6 linked regions of the Xenopus tropicalis genome follow. The protein of the gene in region 1 interacts with the protein of each later gene in a biochemical or structural test. Links are inferred from orthologs where the notes say so. Each region holds a gene or a part of one and is shown on either strand. Other genes may lie near its edges. The genes, in order: skp2, cdc34, ccna2, ccne1, cdkn1a and akt1.

Region 1 (3,500 bases):
AAAGTTGCTAGGAACTGGACATTCTATAACATACTAAAAGTTAATTTAAAGGTAAAGCACCCATTTAATGTGTGTTGTACCTAGCAGTGATACCAAGTGAGCACAAATGGCAAACCCAAATCCCCACCACCGGTGCTGGTCCCACTGCTGTATTCCGCTTGCTGCAGATTGGTGGGAAAGTCATTTGATGCAAGAATAAAGGTGCCCCCATGTAGAACAGGCCAGCTAGAGGAATTCTGGGAGTTTAACAACTGATCGTTATAGAACAACATAAATATACACATTAACTGTGTTGCACAGAAGTTCTAGTCCAGTGAACGGTATTATTTAGGACTCGCTGTTGTGGAACTACGACTCCCATTATCCCGTCACATAACCACATCAGTACCATATCAATGGCAGTCAGTAATGGCAGCTTATTGGTTTATATTGACCATCTTCCTATCCTTCATCCCGTAACAAATCAGAATCCTGTAGGAATGTATAAGGAGCCGGCTGTGGCTTTAGAGGAGCCAGGTGTATTCTACACTGATTCAAACCAGTGGGAGGCAACATGCAGCTTGTTCTCCCCCAGGTTCCTTTTCTCACCTTCAGTACAAAATACCCAAAAGACAAAAAAAAAAAAAAAATCGAATAAAAAAAGTGATGGGTATTAAAAAAAAAAGTTCAAGTTTCTTGGTTTTGTCCTAGTGCAGAGATCCCCCCCCCATCACAAGTAGTCTTTATAGTTCAACGTGAGCTTGCATTTCATGCCCCACATTTCCCGGCTCTTTCGGATCCCTGTAGTGGGCCGGCCGATGGTACTGAAGTAGGAGCAGTTTATCTTTATGTGTGGGAGGGATTCCTTCAGGATCTGCATGGAGCCTTCTGACACGATGCCAAATACACTGAGGCTCTTTAGAGGGATCTTCTTTCCAAGCTCCCTGGGGCAAAACATAACCAAGAGTAAATCTGGAGTATTAGGACATAAAATGGGTTATGGGGATTCAGAGAGACAATCTAAAAAACAATGGATTGAGATGGAGAAATGAAACTGCAGAGGGCATCACCAATACCAGTAATACAGTAGCACACACTACAATGGAGTAATGCTTTAGTAGGGGACTAAAGAGAAGAGGGAATAGAGAGTACTTACAGCAGAGCAGCCGGGCAGATCTGGTAACAGCGACTCAGCCCAAGGTGCTGGAGATGGAGAAGCTGCTGCAAAACTGCAAAGCAGTCGGCGGTCAGCATCACGCTGTCACTGTATGAAGGAGAAAATATAATTAGATCCAGTTCTTAGGTACAGGCTTTGTGCTCATCTCTCACTATATTATCTGTTCATGTAACCCACACACCTCTCGGACCAGAATGGCTTAAATGGGACCTTATTCATCATGGCAGTCTGAACAGATATGTACAGAGGTAATTATATAGAAGCACGGACATTGCTCCACTGTAGTCTTAAAACATGCAGGATCTGGGCAAATTAGACCTTGTTTGCCATATGTCACAAAATGTATTTATCTTTTTAACAGTAGCATGTCACTATGCCTATTTAAACCCTAGAGCCACTAGAGCTAGGCACAGTGACATGTTCCTGGTAAAACCTGTAATGTTTCACTATCCCTTTAATGCATAAGAGTGCAATGTATTAGTGCACAGCACAGCTCTCCATGTTTGTTCACAAGTGATAGCTTCCTATATTGATATCCAAAATGATAACTGTGACAAAAATACATTTCAACTGCCACTAGGGCTGCAGACTGGTACATTTAAGTATAAGCTTGGTGGGTTCAGAGATAGAAGATATATATTTGTTGTAAAACAGCACATTACCTTAAATCCAAGTCTGTCAAGTCAGGACATTGGGCCACGAGCGTCTTCACATCTAGAAGTAAAGGAGATATACGTTATGTGCTGTGTGTACTGACGTGGGGGTGCGGCTACAAAATGCACAATTACAGATGCACAAAGAGTTAACACCTGGTGCAACATGTGAATGGGACCAGTAGCACTCCCCAAGGCATTTAAGGGCAACTAATAACCAGAAATTAAAATCTCCAGTGAGATTAAATCTTGTCGCTGCTGCACAAGGGCCAATGCCAAATATCTTACAAAGCTGCTCCTTCATTTTGTGGAAATGGGGCCGGCCAAAGAATGAGTAGCTACAGTATCATGTGGCTGATGTACTTGTGAGTAAGAACAGCAGCCCTATAGCCAAACCTACTGGTGCAGACTACAAATTATTTTGTAAGGAAGGAAAATTCCTTGGAGGACTGCAAGCAGCAGTGAGACTTCAGCTGGACCTCCCTATAGGGTAGCGCGGCCCTTACTCTCTTGCCCTTACTCTCTTGCTGGGAGCAATATGGCACTGATAGAGCCAAAGTCAGCCTGTCTGAGGGCGGCCCATAAGACTCAGAACAAATAGCATAGGGTCACACAGAGCACGTGGCAGTTTACAGGGGTTAATGAGCCAGTCTGATTAAGAACATATTTGCCACCTTATTGTGGCAGTCGTGTAGGAGGGCAACCTACACCCCCCAACAACAATTTATATCAGAGAACCTACTGGGAGCCAAAATTAGATGTTTAAAAAAGGGAAAGCATAAAAATGTTTGCGGAAGAATTGTAGCGTTGTGACAGTTACAGAAGACAAATGGCATAAGCAAAAATCCCCCTGTAGGCAATGATGAACCATGCAGGTCGGCTCTCACTCTGGGCTAAAGATGATAATGAACTTTAAAAATGGCCCCTTTATTCTCCCAAGGATCCACTATTGTTCCTGTCCATGTTGTAGCTAAGGGGTGGGTGTGTCCTAACAGCCCCTGCCAGTAGCACAGTCGGAGGGGCCAATCACAGGAACCTTATATAGTGTGGGGCTATCATGTCAGTGCCTAGTTCTGCCTGCTGTTCTTACATTACACCTGCGCATAAAGATACCAATACGTAGTGCGTACCAGAGAGTTCCAGGTTCTGCCGGTAGCCACTGAAATTTAACTGCGTTAGGCTGCTGGGCAGGTGACTGACGGCGCTCTTTACGTGCTCTGCCTCAAAGTCGCACCACGACAGGTTCAGTTCATCCAACCTGCAACACAGACAACACAACTGAGAAGCTTACCCACAGGTAAATAACATGTCCCCCACATCCCAGGCCAGCAGATCGCCATGTCATACACATGCTTAGAACATACAGCTTATACAGATGATGTCATATCCTAGAGGTGGGGCTATAACACACACTTTGATTCAGAGGTACTGCCTTGCGGAAGCCAAGGGTTAAACGAAAACTATACCCCCCCCGCCCCCCAAACAATGTAGGTCTCTATAAAAATATATTGCATAAACAGCTCATATGTAAAACCTGCTTCATCTAAATAAACCACTTTCATAAAAATAGACTTTTTTAGTAGTATGTGCTATTGGGTAATCCTAAATAGAAAACTGCCATTTTAAGTACTAAGGGCCACCCCCTGGCATCATAGGATTCACAGCGCACACAAACAAGCCAAGGCACACAT
Region 2 (3,969 bases), about 92 Mb from region 1:
ACATCTTTGTCAAAAAACGAAACGCAGGAGGAGAGTAGGGGTAATCAACTGGAAATTTTAAGCGGGCCTAGGACAAAAAGAACATGTAATGGTTAACAAGCAAGTGAGTATGGTTGAGATCCATGCCTTTGTTATAACACACCGTAGCTCCGATTAGCACAAAATAATGGTTCTCAAGCAACATATCTAAGAGTAGATCAACCAAATTTCAGTCTATTAAAAAAAAAAGTGTAATTTATTAATTTTTTACTTGTTTGCTCTCTTTCTGTAGTAACAATAAAACAGTATCTTGTGCTTTATGATAACTAAGCTAACATAAATCCATGTTTCTGGCTAAAAGATCATCTTGGTTTTTATTTTTAAATGCTTCAGCAGGCCATAAACGGGCCAATAAAAGCTGCTAGGTCAGTGCCTCCAGGCCAAATTAACAGCTTATTGGCTCGTGTATAGGGCCCGTCTGACCAATAGCTGATCAATTTTCAATACGGCAAGTTTGAAAATCCTATTGAATGAGGGTGCATTGGCACTCTGAATGTGGCTATCATGCAAGAGGCCCCAATAAAAGATTTGAATTATGTCCAAAAGCTTTCAGAATAATAGATCTCATACTTATAGAACTGCATGATGGGTAAGCAAGCTCAGCTGTCATCAGATTAATGATAAGTAAATAAAAAATAAGGTCTGTTTTCAGTTCCAGGGAGGCTGGATAATGAGATGCACCAATTCCAGAGTTTTATGATTCAAACCTTTGTAAAAGATTTGGCCTAATACCGAACCAAACTCTAATTTGCATTTGAAAACTAACCTATAAAAGGAATAAAAATGTTCAACTTCTGGGTTTACATAAAGAAATAGTGATTTTAAGGATTCAGATTTGGTTCAACCAGGCACATGGATTCGTCTGAATCCGAATCCTGTTGAAAAAGGCAGAATCTTGGCCAAACGCCGAAACAAATCCTGGATTCAGTGTATCCCTAATAATATGTATATTATACATATATTGAAAGTGGTGGTTCACCTTTGAGTTAACTTTTAGTATGTTATAGAAAGGCCAATTCTAAGCAACTTTTCAATTAGTCATTATGTTTTTCATAGTTTTTGAATTATTTACTCTTTGCAGCTTTCAAAGGGGGGTCACTGACCCCCAAGCCAAAGAACTATTGTTCTGCGAAGCTATAGTTTAACTGTTATTGTACATTACTTATGTTTCTATTCAGGCCCTCTCGTATTTATATATCAGTCTTTTATTCAAATCACACCATGGTGGCTTAGGTAATTTGGATCCAAGCAACCAAATAGCTGCTGAAACTCCAAGCTGGAGACAACCAAAAACTGAAATAATTAAAAAAAACTACAAATAAAAAATGAAAACCAGTTGCAAATTGTTTCAGAATATTACGCTCTACATCATACTAAAAATTAAGTAAAAGGTGGACAACCCCTTTAAAGGGGTTGTGCACCTTTGACTTAACTTTTTAGTATGATTTTTTTTTGGCTCAGGGGTCAGTGACCCCATTTGAAAGCTGCAAAGAGTTAGGACAAGGAGGCAAATAAATTAAGAAACTATGAAAAACAAATAATGAAGAATATTCGAAAAGTTGATTAGAATAGGTCTTTATATAAGATACTAAAAGTTAACTTAAAGGTGAACCACCCCTGTAAAACACAATTACATTGTTCTAGCCATTTAACATCTCATTATAAACCCCTATTAAATTTCTTGATCTGTGCAAATGTCTAGGAATAAGTAGTCCCTTGAAACTAATATTATATATATATATATATATATATATATATATATATATATATATATATACACACACACTATAGAAGGCACATCTTAACAAAACTGCCCAAAACTAAGTATAGAGACCCCTTTAATCCTTAAAAGAATGAGGCTTCATACATGTAGCTAGTATGGCATACTAAAATGTAAAAGAGTGGAACGCCTATGTTTGATTAATCTTCTGAAAATCTTTATGAAATAGGCACAGGATGAATACATATAAACCCAGGGTATCTCCACAAACACAAAGTGCCAAATCAGAAGTTAGATGAAGAGTTTAGAGCGTTTTCCTGTTACACAAAGGCCTTTATTGCTTTCTAACACCGTGCATCCTGTGGCTGGGGCCTAGCAGCTGTTGTTGGACTACAACTCGCAGAAAACAGGATTAAAGATTTAGTAGTGCCACACTCTTTCAGTAAGTTTTAGTTTTGGGGTAGCTTTGAGGGCTGGTTGAGTTTCATGTGAAACATTAGTTTCGGGCAAGTTACGGCTATGGCTGTAGGAGTCACATAAACAAAGGAAAGCTTGTTGTGCAGAAAGGCCCAGCGATGTACGCAATACCCACCCACGCCTCTATTACTTACTGCCTCTTTAAATACCCCCCAGCGTGGCTTTCCCTCCCCAAGGCCCCTATGATCACGAACTCCACCATTTCACACACACCTAACCCTCACCTTGAAGTACCCCCCCTCATAGAGGGTGTTTGGGGGGCCAAAGATTGCCACCTCCCAGTTGTACAGATCCCCCTCATCTACCAGGGTGACCCGGAACCCCTCCACCGGCTCTTCCTGTAGCCCCTTGAGTTCCAGCATCAAGGCCTTCTGAGAGCTGGGCACCGGCGCCACCGGCCGGGCCATGGTAGTTCCGCTCCCCGCTTTCTAACCAGGAGCCCACAGCGTCCTCCGCGTAGGGCAGGATGGGATCAGTAGGCTTTTGGTGTTTTAGCAAGAAGGGGCTGCTAGACGACTAAAGGCTTTATTACGACATGTTACGGCACAACGGAGCCGCTTTGCGAATTAACTTGCTGGCTGGAAGAGTAACGGGTGCCGGAAACTGCAAGTGAAGCCACGGCGTTGTGGGAGGAGCAGCCTACAAATCCCACAAGCCCACGAACACTGTGACGCACTGGTGCGAGGGAAGTGTAATCTGAGCGGAGGAAGGAGGGGTCTTGCTGAGGCTGATGGGAACAAAGCTAGATGTTGGTTTCTAGTGGGGAAACGTGATTTACAGAGCTTTTATTTAGTAGTGCAGTAGAAAACTTCAACTTGACACAAAGTTTCTGAATGAACAGTGAATATATCCTTTAATCTCCTAGAATATAACCTTCTAATACAGCTCACCTTAAAGGGCACCTATCACCCTCAAATTGTTTCCCTCATCAGAGGTTAGGGAAACAATAGCTTTTTGTGAAAAAAAAAAAAGCTCCTACCATTGCTAGGCTGCCTGCAGCAGAAGAGTGCTCCAGGTGTGGGCAGCCATATTGCCTCATTTCTCACAATGTGCATAATGAGTGAGTGCCACAAGTTGCTTATTATGTGCATGCTTGTGATGGAGGGTGAATTGCATCCACCACGCCTAGATCAGGCGCATGCGCATCATCTGCAAGTGGAAAGGCGCATTTATTATGCCCACGCATGGCAAACAACATGGTTGCCTGTACTGGGAGCTTCATTCAGGTGCGGGCAGCCTAGAAATGGCAGTTGCTGTATTTTTTAAAAACCAAACTATCGTTTTCCCTCAACCAAAGTGCTGCGTCTATTAGCCTGCACCTCTGGTGGGAGAAGCAGTTAAAGGGTCATAGGTGCACTTTAAAGGACAGGGAAACTTAGATTCAGTGGGTGGCAATTTATTGGGTGCCCCCAACACTTTCCATCAGGCCGGTGCTACACTTTGTAAAATGCCACTTCACTACTACTAGTTAAAGACTAGTTGCTTCCTACTCCATGTACGGTGTTGTAAACAGTAGCATAAGTAGAAGTTACTAGGCCCTGAAAAATCATTTTGGCACACCTTGAAATTAGAAATAATATCTTTCATATACATATAATGAAACTACTTATTATTCAGCAGGCTCCCAACAGTCACAGGGTGTGCTTGCTTTAAAGTTACATTCCTTGTTAAAGGAGATCTAAACCCTTAAAAATTAATATGGCAAGAAGTTGGGAAGTTTTTATATACTGGAC
Region 3 (4,230 bases), about 130 Mb from region 1:
AAACTGTAGCATCGCCGGGCCCCCTTTGAAAGTAAAAATTGCGGCCCTGCCTACGGCACACCAGTCAACATCTCGCAGCACACTAGTGTGCCGCGGAACAGCGGTTGAAAAACGCTGCGAGTCTAATCAAAGCAGGCACAGTCACACGTGGCATATGGTCTGCTTCACTCCTCTGTTTGGTAAGCAGGTCGAGAGTGGATTTGCTCCTGTACCCATGCATTTTTGGGTTGATCACTCCTCTGTGTAGCTGCACTGAGGCTAATGCAGTGCCTGTAAGTGGAGCTACACAAAGGATAAGGCTGGTGCCACACGGGGCTTGCGTAAAAACGCAGACCGAGAATCAGCCCCTCCGCTGGCATCAGACACCTACCTTATCTGCACCCTGAAGCTTTGTTGTGCCCAGGTGCAGGCAGACGTGGTGGATACCAGCAAACAAATGTGAAAGTTTGCATTTCACAGCCAATATTCGCCACGTCTGCCTGCTCCCTTGTGGCAGTAGCCTATAGAAGCAGATCCGCTTCTCTCTGACAAAACGCGTGAAAGGAAGCAGACCATACACTACATGCGACTGTGCCCTTAGGGGAGGGATGTACTACAACAAAAATACATTATCCACACTAAAAGGTTAGAAAAATAAATGTGTCGCATAAAGTTACCAGTAGGCAATGTTCCCTCTAATTTCTTCATGGCTGTGTGCACAAAAAACTTTTTTGTGCATGCACTTTTTAAAACCATGTGAGCTTTAAAGTACCAAATTATGTGATTTCACACAATTATCTTTATGCGCACAAAAATTTATTATGGGATCTCAAAATGAGTGTGCTTAGAGTGACCATTGGGAGTAGGTACCATCAGCCCTTGGCTAAAGTTCCCATGTGGCCTCAAGGCTGAAAACTGCTCCTGTATGGCTACCTTGCCTGTGCTAACTGCTTGTTTCAATTTACTGCACTGCAACAAAACTGCCCACATTAGGGCACATATAACGACTTCCACAGAGGCTTCAAAACTTGCAATATATCAGAAATTATTAGCTAGATATAAAAATTATATGTCTAAAACAAACAAAAAAATATGTTGGCACAGGTGCTTTAACACTAATTAAGAAAAAAATACAAGACTTGCTGAAATGATGTCACTAAGAAGAGTAGATCGCGTTCTTTTCTCGCGTTCTCTTCCCGGCTTCCGTACAATCAGTGACGTCTCCCCGCGCTGCCCTGTGATTGGCTGATTTCAATAGTCGCGGGCTACTTGAATTGAGAAGACTGCAGCTGCTGTAGTTGAAGGGATTTCTAGAGAGGCGCTTTGAGAAGCGGCGGGAGTGGGACGGTTTAGCATAGTTTACCGGCATATAAGCGGGAAGGGGCATTAAGCTGAGCTGCTGTAGGCACACGGTCACCAACCCTTTTTTACTTACACCCCTCAAGGGAGGACAGGGGACGTGCAAACGTGCACTCTCCTACCGGCGCCAGTCCTTCCCCCGCTTTCTTCCTCCCTCTGGATCGGTATCCGCGGTATGGCCGACCATCTGCTGCGTGATGAGAATCAGGAGAATGTTCAACCCCGAAAACCCCTTGCCCCCGTGGGCGGGCGCACCGTGCTGGGGGTGCTGCAGGAAAACCACAGAGGCCGACAGACCCTAAAAGCGAGCAAGCCGGCCCTCCAGCAGGCTCAGGTATGAGTATGGGGCCCAGGGCTACCAGGCACAATGGCTAATATACCCGGGAAGCGTGGACGTGTATTTAAAAGGCTGCCTGTCCTGTAGATCCGGTCCCGCCAATTCCCTAGATCGTAACTGATCCCAGAGTCCCTTCCGCGCTTGTGTAAGTCTCTCGGTGGCCTGGCTCTTCTCCTGTGTATCTTCTACAGTTCCCAACATCTTCCAGGGTCTGGGGTTTGTAGTTCAGCTGCCTATCCCTGTTCGCTCCCCATTGCCTTCCTGTCTGAGGGCTGAGTACTATAGGATCGTGGCCTGACCTGTTTAGGCCGCCATTTCGCTGCAGTGTATAAGGACCGTGACCTGAAGGTCGGAGCCCGACTCATGCGTCCGGGAGATAATGTCAGGCCAATGATTGCTATTATGCACTTAGTGCCGTGTCTGATCCACTGGTGGGCATGTGCCCTGGCAGAAATGTCAGCCATTCCTTGGTTTCATGCTGTTTGTCACCATGGGCCCATTAAATTCTTGTCTTTCCTTCATTTCCCAAATCATGTTACCAGGCATATTTGCCCCACAAGCTTTCATGGTATTGCATGTATAGGCTTTCAGAAATTTATCCTGATTTTTATCGGTCTGTTGCTCATGTCTTTTACATTAGGGGGGACCTTGGGAGATTATAACCTAGTAATGTCACCCACCCTTTGCATTGTACTTATTGTCTGGTGACTGAGGCTTGAGCCTATTATGTGCCTTGCCCATGTGGTCACTTTGTCCCATTTAATGGCAATATATGCCGTGCCCTACTGATCTTTAGTCTGTGATGCACATTGCCACTGACTCTTTGTTTTAGGGCTGAGTTGCAGCATGGTGCAGATCCTCAGACCTTCCACTGGACTTGCTAAGCAGGCACATGCAGGTTACTTGAGATTTATTATTAGATTAAGTCTCTAATGCAGTAAAAGCAGTAGTAGCTGAGAAAAAGTAGCTTCTATTGCCTCGGTGTGTCTTGATACTTAGGATGAAGACACACGGAGCTACTTGGTAGCACGGCTACTGAATGTCGTAAAATACCCTGCCACAGACAAAATTGAGAATTGCGACTAATCTCTCCGTTATGCCATCCCACCGGCTAGAATGTAAATTGCTGGTGGGATGGCATACGCATCGCTGCAATGTCTTGAGAGGGAACTTTGAGACTTTGCAACAACACGTATGCCATCCCATCGGCGATTTACATTCTAGCTGGTGGGATGGCTCCCCATGTGCCACTGCCCTAAATGATCAGCGTGGTCTGTTTTAATTGCCATGACAAGTAGCTGCTCCTCCTAGTAGCTCAGTGTCTTCACCCTAAAACACACGTACAGATAATATCCGTAAATGATCTGCATTGTCTTTTAGTAGCTGTATGTATCTTCACCCTTAGGTTTGTGGGTGACTGTCAAGTCAGTGTACTTGAAATGCCAGGGTGTACTTTCAGTTGAAGTCAAAGTATGGTGCCAGGTGCTCTTGACTTGGGACAATAACACCCCATGTTGCGCTCTTGGGCAGCAAAATTACTAACTTTCCTTTGAATAACATTATAAATGCTGAATCACTGATACTTAATTTGCATTACGGCGCAAAATTGCTCATTGCTGCATCTTTTAGGAATAACATAAGGGCACCCTGGGGGGTGTAGCAATTATAATACTTTTCAAGGTAGTGGTACAGCAGGCTAATGCTTTCAGAACATTAATTTTCTTCACTCATTCTTAAGGTATTATATTGTAAAATATCACTTGTTTGACTTTCATTTTAGGCTTTGTCTGTAAATCACTTGGGCGTAAATGATGAGAATTATGGCAAGGTACCGGCTGGAAAAGCAGCCAGCAAACAGCCTACTTTTACAATCCATGTGGATGAGCCAGACTGTACAAATAACAGAAGAAAGCCTGTTCATAAAAAGACCGTTCAAGATGAAAATCTACGACAACTCAATTCAGTTCTGGGTTCCATTGGAACAAGAAAACCATTGGAACCTATCCACATAGCAATGGAAACTAGCTTTGGTATGTTGGTTTTGCTCATTGTGTTCTCAGCTGCTGTTGCCAACTGGGATTGGGTTTTGTCACTTGCTAAATACCCTACTGCCCCCCCCCCACACAGCTACAGCACATGCTAAAGCATGTATGTTCTGACTCTCCAGGTTCTCCTATGGATGTGTCGCTTGTGGATGAAGAACAAAAAGTAGTCGGTTGTAGTAATGTTCCTGATTATGCTAAAGAGATTCACACATACCTGCGAGAAATGGAGGTAAATTTATATCTTAGTAAAATCTGTCAAGTGAAACATTCTTCCCTAGTATAAGGCTAAACACATGCACTGATGTTCTCCATTTCTTAGTGTAACAAAGCTCCAGCTTGCTTAGGGAAGTTATTTGCAAGCAAATGTTAAAAATACATACCGTTTAGATCGCAGTTAGTGCTACCTAACAACCTAGATGTTTGTATAAAGCCATAAGGCTGCTTTCCATTGACAGCAGCTGTAAGTAGTTTGCACTGCAAATGCATGTACTACATTAGTCATCTGCCTTA
Region 4 (3,485 bases), on another chromosome or scaffold:
GCAGATGGGCGAATCAAGATGATGTCTGGAGAAACATGTTGAACAAAGACCGAACTTACCTGAGGGACAAGAATTTTTTTCAAAAACACCCTCAGTTGCAACCTAATATGAGGGCTATTCTCCTTGATTGGCTTATGGAAGTGAGTACTGTTTTTTCCTTTTTCCCTTTTTTTAACTAGCCTTCAAAACTCTACCTTACTTGAAAAAGTCACCTTCAATAGTTTAAGCAAGACCATTGATTTAAATGGCGCTGCTTATTGGAGTAGAGTGCAAAGGTCCTGCAGTGACAATGTGATAAGACCTTGTAAGGTGGTGAGAATTTCTGAATATTCCTCTTCCTCTAATCATGAAAGCTGGAGTGGAGATCTTGATTGATTCCAGAATGATCTGCTTGGGATTGTATTTTAGATTAGTCTAGTTGATATAATACACCAAAGATTATGTAATATGGGGTACAACACTTGCTACACCTAATCACCTATAGCAGTCAATCAGTAGGTAGCATCAACTGGTCACCTGTTTAAAAGCAAACCTCTTGTTTGCTATGGGTTACTGCTCCATGGCAAACTTTGCCAGTTAAAAAATATGCACAGTTATACACAATCACTGCACATACGCAAAACCCAGCCAAAGAATACCAACCAAACAGTTCTTTCACAGCAGTACTGTTTAGCTGGTATTCTTGGATAAGAGGGTTTAGCATATGTACAGTGATTGTGTATAACTGTGCATTTCAAAATTTTAAATCCATTCCTAAATAACTGGAGCTTGCTGGCAAGACTAAAAATTGAGTGAAATAAAATGAAGGGCGGCTTCAAAGTCACAGCAGGATGAATGACCCAAACAATACCCTACAGCAGGGGTCCCCAACATTTCTTACTCATGAGCCACAGTCAAATGTAAAAAGACTTGGAGAGCAACACAAGCATCATAAAAGTTGCCAAATAAGGGCTAAGATTGGCTATTGGGTAGCCTCTATGCACACTATCAGCCTACAGGAGGCTTTATTTGGTAGTAAATCTTTTTTTTTTTTTTTTTTTTTTTTTTTTTTTTATTCAACCAAAACTTGCCACCAAATCAGGAATTCAAAAATAACTACCTGGTTTGGGGGTACTGAGAGGCACTGATGACTGCCCCTACAGCTTGAACTGGTAAATTTTGAGATGGTCTCTGCAGGTGGAGGTTTTCCTTCAAGGAAAAGATGTCATAGGTTATCTTTTTGCCACGGCATTACTTTCTTTGAAAAAAACACACCCTGGAGAGCTGGCAAGGGAAGAGGTACTAGATACACCAGTAGTCTTTTTGGAAGCACTTCCTTAACTTAATAGTGCCATTTTTTTTTCTGGTAGTGCTACCTCTAGAGGCATATGGCCACATCATACAGTACCAAAATTAGACACAAATGAGGTAAAAGCACTTAATACTGTGAAGTGTTCAATTAGGAATTGTCTGGCTGAAATATTAATCTTCAGTGTAAAGTTTTGCAGTCATTTCTGAATAAGCCTTATAATGTAAATTTATACTCCCACAAGCACTTGCAGGACTTGCACATTTTTTTTATTTCATATACTCTGGCATTTTTAAATTTAAAAGCAAGTGCAGCTGTTTTGCATATATAAAATATTAATTGTATTCTCCCCCCCTCAGGTTTGTGAAGTGTACAAACTTCACAGAGAAACATTTTACCTAGGACAAGATTTCTTTGATCGGTTTATGGCAACTCAAAAAAATGTAATTAAAAGTAGACTGCAACTTATTGGAATCACATCTTTGTTCATTGCTGCTAAGCTGGAGGTTGGTAAAGTTTTTTACTTTCTTTTTGGGTAGAGCTATAATGGTCAACTTACCATAAAGTGAGTTCTTTACTTTATTGCAGGAAATATACCCTCCAAAGCTGCATCAGTTTGCATTTATCACAGATGGCGCCTGTACAGAAGATGAGATTACAAGTATGGAGCTGATAATAATGAAGGTAAAGCCTTATGGGTTTTAGGAATAATACATTGCTCAAAAAAAATAAAGGGAACACAAAAAGAAGACATCCTAGATCTGAATGAATGAAATATTTTTATTAAATACTTCACTCTTTACATAGTTGAATGTGCTGACAATAAAATCGCACATATATTATCAATGGAAATCAAATTTATCAACCCATGGAGGTCTGGATTTGGAGTCACACTCAAAAGTGGAAAAAAAACACTATAGGCTGATTCAACTGTGATGTAATATCCTTAAAACAAGTCAAAATGAGGCTCAGTAGTGTGTGTGGCCACGTGCCTGTATGACCTCCCTACAATGCCTCGGCATGCACCCACACAAATGACTCGGGTAGTGCAGCTCATCCAGGATGGCACATCAATGCGAGCTGTGGCAAGAAGGTTTGCTGTGTTTGTCAACGTAGTGTCCAGAGCATGGAGGCGCTACCAGGAGACAGGCCAGTACATCAGGAGACGTGGAGGAGGCCGTAGGAGGGCAACAACCCAGCAGCAGGACCGCTACCTCCGACTTTGTGCAAGGAGGAACAGGAGGAGCACTGCCAGAGCCCTGCAAAATTACCTCCAGCGGGTCACAAATGTACATGCTTAAATGGTCAGAAACCGACTTCATGTGGGTGGTATGAGGACCCGACTTCCACAGGTGGGGGTTGGGCTTACAGCCTTAACACCGTGCAGGACCTTTAGCATTTGCTATAGAACACCAAGATTGGCAAATGCGCCACTGGGGCCCTGTGCTCTTCACAGATGAAAGCAGGTTCACACTGAGCACATGTGATAGATGTGACAGAGTCTGGAGATGCCGTGGAGAATGTTCTGCTGCCTGCAACATCATCAGCATGACCGGTTTGGCAGTGAGTCAGTAATGATGTGGGGTGGCATTTCTTTGGGGGGCTGCACAGCCCTCCATGTGCTTGCCAGAGGTAGCCTGACTGCCATTAGGTACCGAGATGAGATCCTTAGACCCCTTGTGAGACCATAAGCTGGTGCGGTTGGCCCTGGGTTCCTCCTAATGCAAGACAAGAAACTAGACTGGAAGACTAGACCTCATGTGGCTGGAGTTTGTCAGCAGTTCCTGCAAGACGAGGCATTGATGCTATGGACTGGCCCGCCCGTTCCCCAGACCTGAATCCAATTAAGCACATCTGGGACATCATGTTTCGCTCCATCCACCAACGCCACTTTGCACCACAGACTGTCCGGGAGTTGGCGGATGCTTTAGTCCAGGTCTGGGAGGAGATCCCTCAGGAGACCATCCGCCACCTCACCAGGAGCATGCCCAGGCATTGGAGGGAGGTTATATAGGCACGTGGAGGCCACACACACTACTGAGCCTCATTTTGACTTGTTTTAAAGACATTACATCAAAGTTGAATCAGTAGTCTGTAGTGTTTTTTTCCACTTTAATTTTGAGTGTGACTCCAAATACCTCCATGGGTTGATAAATTTGATTTCCATTGATCATTTTTGTGTGATTTTGTTGTCAGC
Region 5 (3,500 bases), on another chromosome or scaffold:
AACTCTGTAAGTGCAAGAAAAACATTTAACAACTGGACGTGAAAATGATGTCCACCCACCCTCCAGGTGGTAGTATTTTAAAGATATCAGTGTTAGCACAGTTAAGCTGGCTTTACATGCCCAGATATATTATTCTGACATATTGATCTGTTCATCTGCTGATGCAATATGCATCAATAGATGAAGGAGTAAAGAAAATTTGTAGCTCCTCTTCACTTCCTGCTATTTCAATTGTTTAATTAAACAAATGGAACACTAGTATGGCAGCCATACATGTAAATGGCCACTCATATGGTAGCCGCCAATTCAGCCAGAGGGCTGATTGGTAGGATACTGAAGAGTATTATCCAGTGTATGGTCCCCTTTAAAAAGCCCCAAGGTATGATGCTGAGTGCTAAAGCAAAGTGGCCTGCACACATGGACTAACATTTTAGTGCATTACTGAATATTGCTCTGAATCTTGTCAAAATCTGTTGCAAACTTCTAAATATTAGCCATTTTCATTAACTTAGTATCATTTATATACATATATCTATAAAACCGCAGTGTTTTACTATTTAGAATTACAAAAAAAGTATTTTGCAACAACTAGAAACTCAGCAAACATACACCACTAAAGCTAATGCTTATCTCTTCTTCCGGTTGTTTAAATTATTAAAGTAATAGTGAGGTACAATCTGTGAGGATTTTGAAGTTCTCTGGAGTCTATGTAATGTCCATTAAAGTCCAGGTTTTGTATAAGAGCATGAAAATCCAGCGTTCTGACACCTTAAACTGAGAAATGAAAATTTGTTCAGGTCCAAAGAAAGGACCTCACAAACAGCATAGTGATCAATCGCGGGGGCTGGGTTTAGGTGAACATCTCCGCTTGACAGGATAAAAATCTGTTAAGGCAAAAACAGAAGCAGAGATTAAATATTAATAATGGTTGCTAAGTATAATAATGGGTGCTAAGAATACTTGCAATACTTGATGTCAAGTCATGCAAAAACCAGTTAATGAAAGAATGCAGCATATACATTGGAGCAGCACTAATGATGCAATGAGTGTATATCCTATAAAGCAGGGGCCCCTAACCTTTTTTTACCTGTGAGCAGCATTTAAATATAAAAAAGTAGGGATGTGGTAGGTTATTTGGTAGCCCAATGTGGACTGGCAAGCTACAGGCTCTGTTTGGCAGTACACATGCCGCCATGTGTAATAAAATGTGCTAAGTTTGCCCAGTAGCAGTTACCCCAAGCAACCAATATGTTTTCTTTTAAATAGGTAACCAGTTAATTCTACCTGCTAATTGGTTGCTATGGGTCTTTTATCATATAACCCCAATAGTGTTTTAAACTGGAAGATGGAAAAAGTCAGAAGTCTCTCTTCTAAGTTAGAAATTCAAAAATGAGCACCTGTTTGAGACCACTGGGAGCAATATAAAAGGGGTTGGTTAACATGCTTGTGAGCTACTGGTTTGAGATCACTGCTACAGAGCATACTCTCTGATAATATTTATATTCTAACTGCTATGTGGAACTGTTACAATTACCTGTGATCAGCTTTTGTTTCCTTTTGCCTGAATCGCTGCTTTCACAATTCTGGGAAGCTTTATGGGATTGGTTAATGTTACACATCTCTGCGGCTACATCTTGGCACTGGTTTTCTTTTTCACTTTCCTGCGAATTGCAATTCAAGGTTTTGTCTTCTACCTTCTCCCAATCATATTGCCCTTCAAGAGGAGTTTCAGTGACAAAGTCAAAGTTCCATTTAGCTTTTGCTTCCTCGTTGGATCTCTGCATAAGTTCATGAAATTCAGTTTTTAGCTGTTCATGGTCCACAGCTTCAAAAAGCATTCGACAAGCCTTTTCCTTATTTCCAGATGCTTGCTTGAGGATGGCTATGGCTGACTGCATTTTCTCTGAAAGGGCAGAAAAACAATTGTTGCAACATTAAAAATACAGTAAATATTGTTCCCTTCAGTCAACATCAATCAGTCTGTCTGTATATACTGTATTGCTCTTAGCGCTTAGCCAGCTTGTGCAGCAATAATGCAACTAATAAAACACACACAAGTGCACAGAAACCACATAGAATTATTCCTAAATCTATCGTATTGGAAGCTGCCACATTGGTTGCTGTGCTGCAATATTCTTGGCTTTTAATCAGTTACATTTTAACAATAAACCTCTCAAACATGGGGATACCAGAAGAAAATGAAGAAAATGTTTAAGGGCTCTGAATGGTGGGCCCGCTATATCATGTTCTCTGGTGGGCCATTGGTGTCCTAGTTCTACGCATTATCATTATTCAGTCATAAAATACATGGCCACACCCTATTCTGGGCATTTGAAGTCAGAAGGAGTGTAAGATAAACAACATGCCCTGTCAGTGTGATGCCCATAATGATGCAACTGCAACTTGAATCCCTATGGTAAGAGGTACAAGTTTTGCATTGGTATTCTTGCATCACGTGTGCTTAGTGGCAGCCACAACACCGATAAGAGGTAAATACTTTTGCATTGTAGAGGCAAAATTATACAAGTTTTCCATCATTTACATTTAGCCTTATTTGTAATTAAGGTACTCATTAGCCAAATAACTGAGAACTGTGAACACTGTACACTATTATATAGCATTAATGAAAGAATAGTGTTACTGAATAGCCCTACTTGATAAACGCCATATTGAATAAAGGCTTCAGGAGCAGGTCTGATAATGACAACAACACACATAAATGGAAAAATTGTAAGTTATTTATTATTTCTTGTGGAACAGAGATTTTTCCCTGATGCATAAAGAATGATGGGTCAGATTCACATTTATGAGAAAAGCTTATCTCCTAAATCAATTTCAGATGCAATTCAATAAGAAAAATGTATTGCACTGTTTATTACATGAAAACTGAATTAGGAGAAAATGGGCCCGATTCACTAAAGTCCGAAATAAGGAGTGCTATTTATAGCATGCGTTAAAAATCTTATCACTTCTTATTTTTCGCTCGATTCACTAAAAGGACACTTGTCATAATTAAGAAGCGATGTTCTTGGCGTTATTTATCTTGCGACAACATATTTTCAAGCAATATATTACGCAGCGCACAACATATTACGCAGCACGCTATATTTTACGCAGAGCGCAAAATTTTCAGAACGGTAGTCTTCAGAAAGTAATGGTTACGTGGGTAATATATTGCGCTCTGCGTAAAATATCGCACGCTGCGTAATATGTTGTGCGCTGCGTAATATATTGCTTGAAAATATGTCGTCGCAAGATAAATAACGCCAAGAACATCGCTTCTTAATTATGACAAGTGTCCTTTTAGTGAATCGAGCGAAAAATAAGAAGTGATAAGATTTTTAACGCATGCTATATATAGCACTCCTTATTTCGGACTTTAGTGAATCGGGCCCAATGTTTCTAGCCTCAAATTTAATCTCGTCCATATATTCTTGTTGATTGGAATTTGGCCCTATATATTACTATAGAGAGCAATTCATTTAAGATATAAGACGGAT
Region 6 (3,500 bases), on another chromosome or scaffold:
TCAAAGTATGAGTTCTCCTTCCTTGAACATCACATCAGACTCACTGGCTTATTTACCAACATGGGGAAGTGACCTATGCCAACTATTCAGTATTTTACTTTAATTATTCTACCTGCAGCTGTCAAGGTAAAGGTAAACAACGGTGTTACTGTCCATATGTTGGTCAATAAGCCCCACTCTACTCACACTTCTCCAGCAATGCATGTGTATTTTTTCATTGTTTCATTGAAGGGAAGAATGGATTCAGGTTATACAACATGTAGCCGACAACCTTAAGAAACAGGAAGAAGAAATGATGGAGGTTCGGTCTGGCGACTCCCCAAGCGATAACTCTGGAGCCGAGGAAATGGAAGTTTCTCATTCGAAACCAAAACATAAAGTAGTAAGTGTCATTTTAATGTAAAATGTACAGGTTTGTAAGTAAGGGCTTTTTTATTAAATGGCACTATATTTATCAACAATGGAGCCAGACAAGTTATCCTAGTAACTCCGCTGTCTTTCAGTGGCCCCACCAAGCACAGAATTCCCTATCCAAATGTGACTAATATTGTATGCAAGGATGTCATACAGCTATAAAACTGATGGTTATATTATGTTATTAGATCAGTAAATTGGCCTTGCTTTATCTGAATTGGTACCATTTAACAGAGTGTTGAATTACAAATACATTTATTTAATCTCAACAGACAATGAATGAATTTGAGTATCTCAAGCTTTTGGGGAAAGGAACATTTGGGAAAGTTATTTTAGTCAAAGAGAAAGCAACAGGAAGATATTACGCTATGAAAATTTTAAAAAAAGAAGTTATTGTTGCAAAGGTAAGTGACCCGGAATTTCTCCAGGAATTCCCTCTCTCTCCCCGGAATGGTTATAGCATTCACTTTCTTGTATCAGCTCTTATTCTCATTCCTCGAGACAGTGCTTGTCTTTGATCTTTCATTCATTTATTTATTTATTTTTAAATAAAAAAAAATGTTTGAGGTATGCAGTGTCCATGGCAAATTCAGTAGCAGGACACCACTAAATTGAAGCAACATGGATATATTATTTTATGAAGATAAAACACACTTGTTATATAAGAGTGGCTGCTTGCCTAATGAATTGATAAATTCCAGTCCACCAGTCAGCAGCTTGGTGAAATCTGCTCTAGAATGAGTATTCTGTACCTTAAATGTTTCTTTTTTTCAGGATGAAGTAGCTCACACGCTAACAGAAAACCGCGTCCTGCAGAATTCTAGGCATCCCTTCCTAACAGTAAGTTTTAAATAGAAACATTGTGTTTTTTGCATTAATAATAAAGTTACCATGGAAAATGTATGTAAATATCTTGTAAGTTGGTTTCATAAGATACCACCATAATTATGGGTGTGTTTTATGGCTATTTGATAGCCCTGGATAAGAACTAGAACCATTGTATTTAATTGAGCTCATTTGTTAACTACTATATAGCCTATAGCCCAATTTCAACTTGAATGGTTGCCCCCATAGCTACACAGCAGCTTTTAAAGGAGAAGGAAAGACTAAGTCACTGGGGGGTGCCAAAATGTAAGCCACCCCCAGAGACTTTAATTGCTTACCTTTTACCCTGGGCTAGTGCTCCTGTGAGAAGAAGGAGTGTTTCCTTCCTTCTTCTGTCTTTGCGCCGGCCCCAGGATTCAGAAGAAAGAAGTAAGAGGAAACACTTGCTGCAGCTTCCCTGGGCTTATGTGGCTTCTCCTAATAGGAGCACCAGCCCGGGGTAAAAGGTAAGCGATTAAAGTTAAAAGGTAAGCAAGTAAGATTTTTACCTTTCGACTGCAGCCACAACAACTGCAGTCCTTGTAGACATAAAAATGAATGCTGTTTACTAATAATTTGTTTTTCTGGCCTATGGAGAAACCAGTATGGAAGCTGTAACAGATTATCCATAATTTTTAAAACAGCATCCTACATTTAACTTGCTGCTATTGCTGTGGCAATATAGTAAATATGTATTATATTTTAATGTTTTCAGTCCGTTCCTCTGAATTTATTGTTCCTTTAATGGCTGACCCTGAGGCTTTCCCCTCTGTGATATCTCATGGGTATGATGGGTGTTGGGCTTGCGTAGTGCAGCTTTTGCAGGGTCAGTTTGTTTAATTTGGCACCAATTTATAAAGTTCAGAAGACGGTTGGTTACTCAACTTTAATTTCTTGTAGGCACTGAAATATTCCTTTCAGACACATGATCGCTTATGTTTTGTCATGGAGTATGCCAATGGAGGAGAGGTTAGTACTGAGTAAATCTATCTTTCTATTGCCATTTCTATTATTTCCTACTCTGCACTGAAGTTGGTGCATTGGGGGAATCGTCTGATATGTGCTGATACTGGGCCATTTTTCATATGAGGCAAAAGAAGGTCAGTTTTGGTGCACAAAGCCGCCAAGGGGTTTTGTACTGGGAAGTGCAGCAGATCAGCTCAGAGCTGCAGTTATCGCCAGAAACCATAATGGCGAACATTTTTGGGTAATGTTTACTCAAGCAGGGCTATGCTTCATATTGATGTTGATGGTAAGTGACTCACAGAGGGGAGCGGGTATTTTCATTACATCAGCATGAAGTTCACCCCCTATGTGCCATAGATTTGACAGTAATATAAATGTGTTATTATATTATTATTATATTGTATATTATTAACCACCATCCTGCCGGTGCTATAAAACAGAAAGCCAATCAATAATCATGTTGTACATGTATTTAATCCACTGCTATAAAACTGCAGTGCTGTCTTTTTCTCCCCCTCCTTTATTTCTTCATATTTTTATGGTACAGACTAAGAAACTGCCCCTTCACCCCTATCTGCGCTATGGTTTGTCTGCAACTAGAGACACTGCACCCAGATCAGCTCTGTGTGTCTGTACCCAGGCGAGGCAGTGTCTCTGGGTGCAGACACCCCATAGATCAGATCGGAGAGGAGGGATAGTTTATCGGCCTGTGCTTATACACAGGCCAAGAAACTGCTCCGTGTTGCCCTGAACCGACTGCACCTATTCCAGTCGTTATAATTCGATCGTTTGGCCCCAGTAAATCACCAGTGGAAAGGCATATGCGTTGCATAGGTTTACTGAAATTGGCCAAAGTTTCCTTGTGAGGGAATGTTGGCAACTTAAAGGAACAGTAACACCAAAAAAATAAAGTGTATACAAGTAATAGCAATATAATGTACTGTTGCCCTCCATTGCTACAACTGGTGTGTTTGCCTCAGAAAGACTACTATAGTTTATATAAGTAAGCTGCTGTGTAGCCATGGGGGCAGCCATTCAAAGGAGAAAAGGCACAGGTTACTTAGCAGATAACAGATAAACCCCCATTATATGGGGCTTATCTACTAGTTATCTGCTATGTAAACTGTGCCTTTTTTCCAGCTTGAATGGCTGCCCCCATGGCTACACAGCAGCTTATTTATATAGTAGCTTTTCTGTAGCAAAAACACCAGTTTTTTGCAGAGCAACAGCACATTATATTTTAATTACTTTAAAAC

What was found.
Region 2: the proteins of skp2 (region 1) and cdc34 form a complex in vitro, tested with the Homo sapiens proteins (3 studies listed by BioGRID, with this or other methods). The link is inferred for Xenopus tropicalis from reciprocal best matches to the Homo sapiens genes SKP2 and CDC34.
Region 3: the proteins of skp2 (region 1) and ccna2 are reported together in a solved structure, tested with the Homo sapiens proteins (2 studies listed by BioGRID, with this or other methods). The link is inferred for Xenopus tropicalis from reciprocal best matches to the Homo sapiens genes SKP2 and CCNA2.
Region 4: the proteins of skp2 (region 1) and ccne1 form a complex in vitro, tested with the Homo sapiens proteins (2 studies listed by BioGRID, with this or other methods). The link is inferred for Xenopus tropicalis from reciprocal best matches to the Homo sapiens genes SKP2 and CCNE1.
Region 5: of the proteins of skp2 (region 1) and cdkn1a, one has a biochemical effect on the other in vitro, tested with the Homo sapiens proteins (3 studies listed by BioGRID). The link is inferred for Xenopus tropicalis from reciprocal best matches to the Homo sapiens genes SKP2 and CDKN1A.
Region 6: of the proteins of skp2 (region 1) and akt1, one has a biochemical effect on the other in vitro, tested with the Homo sapiens proteins (4 studies listed by BioGRID, with this or other methods). The link is inferred for Xenopus tropicalis from reciprocal best matches to the Homo sapiens genes SKP2 and AKT1.

The regions. Positions count from the first base shown.
Region 1 is NC_030677.2:198,011,720-198,015,219, reverse strand, and holds part of skp2 (S-phase kinase-associated protein 2), read right to left. Parts: intron 3,068-3,500; coding exon 2,940-3,067; intron 1,871-2,939; coding exon 1,819-1,870; intron 1,244-1,818; coding exon 1,136-1,243; intron 924-1,135; coding exon 710-923; 3' UTR 1-709. UniProt on the Homo sapiens protein: Substrate recognition component of a SCF (SKP1-CUL1-F-box protein) E3 ubiquitin-protein ligase complex which mediates the ubiquitination and subsequent proteasomal degradation of target proteins involved in cell cycle progression, signal transduction and transcription.
Region 2 is NC_030677.2:105,629,684-105,633,652, reverse strand, and holds the start of cdc34 (ubiquitin-conjugating enzyme E2 R1), read right to left. Parts: upstream 2,801-3,969; 5' UTR 2,644-2,800; coding exon 2,461-2,643; intron 68-2,460; coding exon 1-67. UniProt on the Homo sapiens protein: E2 ubiquitin-conjugating enzyme that accepts ubiquitin from an E1 ubiquitin-activating protein, and catalyzes its covalent attachment to other proteins by an E3 ubiquitin-protein ligase complex. In vitro catalyzes 'Lys-48'-linked polyubiquitination.
Region 3 is NC_030677.2:66,833,913-66,838,142, forward strand, and holds the start of ccna2 (cyclin-A2), read left to right. Parts: upstream 1-1,430; 5' UTR 1,431-1,513; coding exon 1,514-1,672; intron 1,673-3,455; coding exon 3,456-3,705; intron 3,706-3,842; coding exon 3,843-3,949; intron 3,950-4,230. UniProt on the Homo sapiens protein: Cyclin which controls both the G1/S and the G2/M transition phases of the cell cycle. Functions through the formation of specific serine/threonine protein kinase holoenzyme complexes with the cyclin-dependent protein kinases CDK1 or CDK2.
Region 4 is NC_030680.2:71,329,770-71,333,254, reverse strand, and holds part of ccne1 (G1/S-specific cyclin-E1), read left to right. Parts: intron 1-4; coding exon 5-140; intron 141-1,647; coding exon 1,648-1,794; intron 1,795-1,876; coding exon 1,877-1,972; intron 1,973-3,485. UniProt on the Homo sapiens protein: Essential for the control of the cell cycle at the G1/S (start) transition.
Region 5 is NC_030678.2:54,653,604-54,657,103, forward strand, and holds part of cdkn1a (cyclin-dependent kinase inhibitor 1), read right to left. Parts: intron 1,904-3,500; coding exon 1,535-1,903; intron 885-1,534; coding exon 832-884; 3' UTR 1-831. UniProt on the Homo sapiens protein: Plays an important role in controlling cell cycle progression and DNA damage-induced G2 arrest. Involved in p53/TP53 mediated inhibition of cellular proliferation in response to DNA damage.
Region 6 is NC_030684.2:99,690,021-99,693,520, reverse strand, and holds part of akt1 (RAC-alpha serine/threonine-protein kinase), read left to right. Parts: intron 1-231; coding exon 232-382; intron 383-686; coding exon 687-818; intron 819-1,188; coding exon 1,189-1,254; intron 1,255-2,178; coding exon 2,179-2,247; intron 2,248-3,500. UniProt on the Homo sapiens protein: AKT1 is one of 3 closely related serine/threonine-protein kinases (AKT1, AKT2 and AKT3) called the AKT kinase, and which regulate many processes including metabolism, proliferation, cell survival, growth and angiogenesis.